Drosophila melanogaster: one gene and its partner. The gene in region 2 interacts genetically with the main gene of each other region. Each region holds a gene or a part of one and is shown on either strand. Other genes may lie near its edges. The genes, in order: SPARC and Klf15.

Evidence for each region.
Region 1: of Klf15 (region 2) and SPARC, changing one suppresses a phenotype caused by changing the other (phenotypic suppression), as found in Drosophila melanogaster (one study listed by BioGRID).

What each region holds. Positions count from the first base shown.
Region 1 is NT_033777.3:26,869,802-26,873,734, forward strand, and holds the start of SPARC (secreted protein, acidic, cysteine-rich), read right to left. Parts: upstream 2,195-3,933; 5' UTR 2,125-2,194; intron 767-2,124; exon of another isoform or gene 709-766; intron 572-708; 5' UTR 554-571; coding exon 392-553; intron 330-391; coding exon 1-329.
Region 2 is NC_004354.4:4,769,872-4,773,722, reverse strand, and holds Klf15 (Kruppel-like factor 15), read left to right. Parts: upstream 1-2,134; 5' UTR 2,135-2,205; coding exon 2,206-3,141; 3' UTR 3,142-3,166; downstream 3,167-3,851. Other genes in the region: CG15472 (uncharacterized protein), read left to right, coding at 3,649-3,851.

The DNA of each region.
Region 1 (3,933 bases), on a different chromosome or scaffold from region 2:
GCGCCGTAGTAGTCGATGTGCATGTGCGCGTTGTCCGGATTGGTGCAGCCGGGCTCGCCGCTGTCGCACCAGCAGCGCTGCTGATACACAGAGCAGTCCGACGGCCAGGTCTCGTTGGTATTGGTGCAGACCAGGCGGCGAGTGTCCACCTCCTCCGGGCACTCCGGAATGCACACGCATTTGGGCTTCTCGTCGTGCATCTGGCAGATGCGACCGGCTCCGCAGCTCATCGTTTCGCACAGATCCACCTCGACAACGGGATTGAGTAGATTGTGCTGCACTTCGGCCAGCTTGGTGGCAATCTCATTCTCGCGCTCAATATCCTTGATCTGCGAATGGAATTCAGTTAGTGCATTAAGTGTGATTTGTGGTTTGACTTGCGGCCACATGCCTTGTTCTTCTCCTCCAGCAGGCGCAGGAACTCCTCTTCGTTCTCATCGATGTCGGACAGGTCGAGGTCCTCATCCAGCAGATCTTCGGAAAACTCCGTAGAGGCCTGGACGTGGCTCACAGCCAGCAGGCCCAAGCCGAGCAGCAGCCAAAGGGAGCGCATCTCGAATGGCGATCTCAACTACAGGGATTGCAAGTAAAGCATCTTTAAAACACCTTTTTCTTCTCTTTATATTTAAACTATATATTTGGAACTAAAAGTGCCTTTATAAATAGAGTACATTATCAAGTCATTGCGATTGTGAAAACCCAAATTACATTGAGATTAGCTGTGGCCCTGGCCCAACTTCCGTTTCAAGGATTGGTTTGCGACTGTACCGTGTGCGCTGCGTCGTTACTGTACTCCACTGGCGATCTTGTAACCACCAAACAACGGGGTGGTTTTACATGCACATCTCGTGCGGCGTCTTTTTGCTCATTGAAAACAATTGAAGAAGCCGCAAAAATCTTGCAGGGTTCAAAAGGTCAACGCGAATGTGGCGCGCAGATACAGATGCATTTCCTTTTATGGGCAATTTTATTTATGGATCTTTAGATCTTGTGGAACAACAAAGCCAACTCATTGATGGCGGAAGATGACTACTGCAGATCTGGAGTTTTTAAAATAGAAACAAAGTCGGGGGAATGGATAAAATCTCAGAATTTTCAATGTTTGCTTTTCATTTCCTGCTGCCTGCTGCAAATAAGCATTTTTCTCGCTTTTTGCAACCGCAAATTTGAAATATGTTTGAATATTTCAGAATTTGGGGCATGTTGAACACATGTTGAGCAGTTCAAATCGTTTATGAAATCATCTATATATGCAGATGCTCCCATTAATGCGAATATACCTGATTAAAGCTGACCTTAATCCTATTGCTAAACACACACACAGGCTAAACTCAAGCCGAATTTTCGTAATCATTTCAAGATGTCGCCCCAGTTCTATGCTCAATCTTAGTACATGTGCTATATGGCATATATGGCACATCATTGGTTGCCCAACGACACAGTTGGCTTATCAGGTTCCAGCCCGACTTGGCCCCACCGCCGCTTATCAGGATCGGTCGGTCGCTTCCGTTTTGGGTAGCACAAGCAAGATGTGCTTAATCGTCGCTTTTGTGCCGCTGAACATCAAGTCAAATGCGCAGCTATGTATCTGGCAATTGAGAAATGTATACGCGATCTCGCGGAATGGAGCTTCCAGGAATATCCGAGAGTGGGATGCTGCTGCAGTGCATTCCACATGTTGCACACATATATATCTATGTATACAATGCAATATATACTTCCACATGTGTTTGTTTAATTATGCCGACGAAACTAGAAACAATGACGTGATGCAGTGTCCAAGATGCAATGTTTATGCATCGCGAATGAAAGTGGACCAAAAGCAGATACAATCTACTTGAATTGGCGGAAGTGCAATTCACAGTTGACCTTGCAAATCACTGGACTTACTTTTGCTTCTCAGTTCTGACCAATTAACGAACTGATTTCATCGAAAATAAAGTCCAATTGATTGACTATTTGCCAATGAGCAAGGAACATTGAACTTGAGCAACTCGAGCCAGAGCTGAGCTTGCAGAAATTTGAGGAACAAGCAAAGTATCTGTATCTGCATATGTCACACACTTGTTTTGTTAATCCGATTACGACACTCAATCCTTTGTTTCACTCTGCGTGAGTACTCACTGTGCGTTCAATGAAAAAGTGTTTCCCTTCAAATGTCTAATCGCGTTGGCGGATGGCAGGCGACTGTTTGCCTGTGGAAAAGCTTCGGAATGATTACGGATCGCCAAAGTGGAGCATGGAGCACTGCCTGCCCATGGTTTTGGTGTCGCCTCCAACGTGTTGGCTCCCAACATGTTCGCTTGGAATAAAAACACTGATTGCTTCGATTTTGGCAGCTCTTTTTTATTGGTTTCTTGCTTTTCAACACATAAAATAAATCGTGTCCTCTTCTACGTACCTCATAGTTTATGGGAAACTTGAGCCTTGGTCTTTTGAAATAGGCCACTCCAGCGTTGCTCCGGGGGTTTATTTTTTTTTTGGAAAAGAAATAGGTTGTTTGCTTAGAAAAGCGTAATAAAGATTCGATAACAAGATACACATAAGTTAGAAACTTAAGAGCACTTATAAAAACTCTAGTTTATCCTAGATGAGATCCGTTACTAACTTACCTTACGAATTAACTTTGTCTCAAGAGTATTTTGTAGAGTAGAGTATGTTTAAAATTAGAGCGATATTTGTTTGTATCTAGAATGGCATAACGGTAACTAAATATAGTTTATGCTATCGCTAAAGAGAAAGAGACTTACATATCGTCAGCTAAAACAAATACATAGTGTTGTTTTTAATTTGTATTTATTTAAAATAAATATGCGTATGGGTTTTCATAGAGTTCGGTTAAGTGATAAATTGTATCTCGATAATGCAGCATAACGAATCTTGCAAATTGTGGACTAGACCTCTCTTATTTCAGTACTGCATTATATATAAAGATCAATTCAAAGCCCTTGGCGTGCACAACAGCTTAATAATAGGAGAGAGTCGAGAATAAATCGTAAGTCTAGTTAATCCGAAAGCATATACATTTTCTTCGCATTTTTTTCGGGTATATACACTTCTTTGAGTTCGTCATGATATACAAATAAGAAGAGATATATGTAGTATATGAATTAACATCGTGGGCGACGAGATAAGAAACCTTTAACATTAATACAGTATATAAGTGTCCGATTCTTGCTTCTTGTAAAAATTGACATTTGTTTTGATATCATCTCTTGTGTACATTAATAGTTAAGGCCACGCCCGCCAGCCCTGCGTATGATTTGATTTGATTTGGGATCCGACTTCGCTCCGGATTCTTATATTCTTGTTTCTTGTTTCTTGTGTTTTTTTTGTTTGGACGTATCTTCTTATTTGAATGGTTTAGGTAATACATAGGCATCTACGATTAAACTACTTGTTTTGGGCCAATAAGCTCAGGCTACAGCTCCGTGATTTATGTCTAATTAATTGATCTTGATTGGCAATTGTTCTTCCATCCTCCACCATTGCACAATCCTTCTTCTTGTTTTACAGATAGAGAGAGAGGTTTAGATTTAAATAGAGAGCCTGTTGTAATTTCGTATCGTATTTTGGGCATTCTTCTACGATACAGAGTTTCATAATTATGTCTAGAGTAATTCGAACTGGAGAAGTGCTCGCTCCTCGCAATACGTTGTATAAAATAGTTATATATAGTCTGCCATAGCTTAGGTCAATCGTAGGGTAATCAATGGTATAGCTTAAGTGTACAGTAAAATCGTAGTTAGTTGTCCTATGATAGAGAGACAATGCGTTAAGTTTCCTGCTTAGTAACTCTAAGCGAGTGTGGCCTAGCTTATGAACGAGCTTACTAAAGAGTGTCTTGATTCTTGAGCTTTAGCCGCCCAAAGAGCATCTAAATCAAAGAGAATTTTAGACATTAGTAATTACACATAAACAAGTACTTCAGAC
Region 2 (3,851 bases):
TGCTTAGCTCATTTGACTGCTGCCAGGACAACGAGGACACTTTGGCAATAATATCGTCCGGTTGTCGGCTTTAAGTCCTCGGATTTGCTTCGTAAATACTTGCAAACGGCTTCAAAATGTCCGGCTTAAATGAGTGGGAGTTTCGAGTTCTGGGTGCTATGATTAAACTGAGGTGACAACATTTTGCCGAGTGCAATTTACAGTAAAATTGTATGCATAATTTCCGTTATGACACTTGCGGTGCGCACACACACAGACACACACGCACACATTTGAACGGAGAAATTTATTTGCAGATAGATGGATAGATAGATGTGGTTACACATTCCCAAAACACTGCAGGAAAATTCCTTTTTGCAATTGCTGGGCGGACTAACCTCATCTAAAAACCACTTGATTTCAAATATTTCGGAATTTAATTAATATGCTGCAAAATGGTTTCAAAGGCGAACCTTATTTACAATCGAAGTTATATATCTTTTTATGTCCTGCTACCTGTTTCCACCGGTGCATGTTTGTATTGGCCTACGAATCTGTAAGTAAGTGGACGACCAGGCACTACGGCTAAATACCAGAACTGCCTGCAGGCAGCATTCTAATTTATGTTATCCTTGCCACTCCACTGAGGCCACACAAAGGGAAATTCTATGCACATATACAGAAATCAGAGTCGCAATACCCTGCTGTAATTACAAAGTGCCAGAGTCGAACTCACAGCCAGACTCCACAATTGAGAATACAGAATCCGGTATCCGGAATACAGAATCCCAAGTCCCGAGTCCCAGACCCGCAGACCAGTTGATATCCTTTAAATCCCTTTAATGCCGGCGCGCAGCCTTTGATTTTTGCAATATCAATTAGCGTAAAACGCGTAGGCCGCCAAAAACTGGTGAAACTGGTCGTGATTGGTGGGTTGGGGGGCATACCAGCCCATGAGGATTTACAGCTGCTGATTATTTCATTAGGCGAAAGTAAATTTAAACGCCAGCCGCACGTTAAATTTATGTTAATTTCCGAAGGGCTGCCAGCCAAAAAGGATGCGGAAATGGCATAGACGAGGAGCAAAAGCTAAGGGAAACTGGAAACTGGCACAGACAGCCTCGGAAAATGAGACGTTCGAGGGGGCGGGTGGGTCTAGTTGAAGGCAAATGGGTGGAATACTATATTACAGCTCGTGCAGGGTCACATTTTAATGCTGCATTCTTGCGCATTACAATGCACTTTAAGTGAATTGTAAATTGCACACCACTGTCTGTATTAAATATGAACGAAATGAGTTGTCAAAAAAAAAAAAAAATGACTAGCTATCAACCTTTTCCAACTGACCATATGCTGCAAATGGACCGTTGCCAAGCCAAATGATTTTCGAACAGAAAAATATTTTCAAACAGATAACTTTCCGTGAATTTAAAACCATATCTGCGGCTCCACTTGACACACATAGGAAACGCACTTGTTTTGCTTGGAACCGAAACACTGATGATCGACCGGGAATATCCATATCCATCCCCCGGGCATATCTAGTTCGCTAGTAATAATCATTAATTAATAACAAATTTGTATTGATTGTCCGGCGAGCAAAACAAAAACAAAAGAGCGAGATGGCGCACTGAAAGCGGGAGATCAGGTGCCGCGCGGCTATACATATATAGCAATATAGCTAGCCGATCTGTGGCCTGACACTGCTTGGCACTCGGCATCCGTCAGCGATTTCGATAGCATTGCGGATTCCCGGACCCGGCCACCAAAAACCCGGGCACATGTGTCGCCGATCAATGCGCGCAACATCTGGTGCGAATGGATATGTACGTACGTATGGATGTATCTTTATCTCAGTCTCGGACTAATGAAGCCGGCAGCGCGTTAGATACGTTGCTCGCCGGCTAATTATTCCCCAAGGGATCCTGGCCACCAATCACTGGAAGCAATCGAGCCACGATCGCAATGAGTGCATCTCTTGATACCCATTGTTCTAGGCAGATCGCAGGGTATGCTATACTATTGTACTTGTAAAAGAAACAATTTAAGTAAACATTCTTTTCATGACATATCAATATGATTTTAAGTACTTAGGGTATATGCCCTGCGATTCCCAACCAGATTCAATGGCTCTCATCAACTTTTCCGACGCCTGTCACTCATCCGGATTGTCCGTGGATATTATAAATATTTGGACACTCGACTGGAGTCCGCTCATTTGCGATCATGGACTTCTTTGCGACGGGTGGATTCCAGCAGCTTTACAGCGACTTGGAAGAGGAGCCACTGGCCGGCGGCGATGCGCTGCTAAATATAGTCAGTGTTGGGGAATTCGATAGCACCTATGTGGATACTAGCTTTTCCGGTGGCAACTATAATCAGCTGGAATTCGAGGAGTCGGATTATTATGGCATCATCACATTGGACAGTAATAATAATACAAATACTAATGGGAATATCCAGGTGGGTCTGCCCCACGTGGAGGATCCTTCATTGTTCATCGACTTCAATGACCTGACCGTATGTCCGCCGGACTTAAGTGATTGGGAGCAGCGACTGCTGGATAACTACGTAGAGATTCCGGACCTGGTGGACTTTCTGCCGGAACGAACTCCCCTGTGCACGGATAACTGTGCGGACTTTCTGGAGGAGAGCAACAGCAATCTGCGGCTGTCGGGGCCACCACATTCAGAGATTTTCGTTCCCGATCGATCGTCTTCCTCGCCCGGCAGCAGTGATTCCGCCAGTCCAGCTGAAGCTGTTGCCCCACCTTCTGCCCTCCAGATGAGTGAAAATGCCGCCGGCGAACGGGGTTACCTGTGCACCTTTGGCAATTGCGAAAAGATCTACGCCAAGCCCGCGCATCTGAAGGCCCATTTGAGGCGGCATCTAGGCGAGAAGCCCTACGTCTGCAGTTGGCCAGATTGCGTCTGGCGGTTCTCCCGATCCGATGAACTGGCCCGCCACAAGCGCTCCCATTCCGGCGTGAAGCCGTACAAATGTGACTACTGTTCCAAGTGCTTCGCCAGGTCGGATCACCTCACCAAGCATCGTAAGGTGCACGAAAGACGTCTTCTGGCCGCCTCCAGAGCTGGCAGATCCCTGATCTCCGACGATCTGTATGCCGTGCGACCAGGTCGAAAGCGAAAGAATCAGTTATGACCACATTCCAAGGACACGATGGATGAGTTAGTTTTAACGTTTTGTACTATTTTTTTTTTTTTTATCACTTAAGATTAGTTCGCATGGGAAACATATCCATAAAATAGAGCTGAAGTATTCCTTCTTTTGTTAGGAAAATTATCAAGAGTTTTATTTCGAATGGGAATATTGATGGTAATAATTACTTGCTGCTCTGTTTTACATAAATGAAATGTGTTTGCTGATTTAAATACGGAAATCATAAACCATTGATAAACTCATTTAGCAGAGTAAAGGAGCATATGATTTAATAAAAAGAAAAAGGGTTACACGCATGAAGTTAATTCATTACAAAAGTTAAATCGAATTTATTAATATAATGAAAAAGGCTAATTTTACGCGGCAGAGCAATTATATCCAACTAAGCAGTGATGTTTCAACAACAGTAGGCCGTTTGCATAGCTTCAAAAAATTTATTAGCGTACATTATATTTATATACTTAAAACATTCAACACAATTCGAGAAATATGGACCGAAATAAGCCACTCAGACTAATTGGCCTCTCCAGTACCGAGCCCGAAAAACAAACGAAACTTACACTGAACCATCTATGTCAGCTGCCAGCACAATGTCCCATAGAAAAATGCATTTCCACCGTTTTCAAGGATGATATGCTCCAACATTTGGCCCAACGCCATTTCCGATCAAATGTGAAAAAGCATTTGCAAGT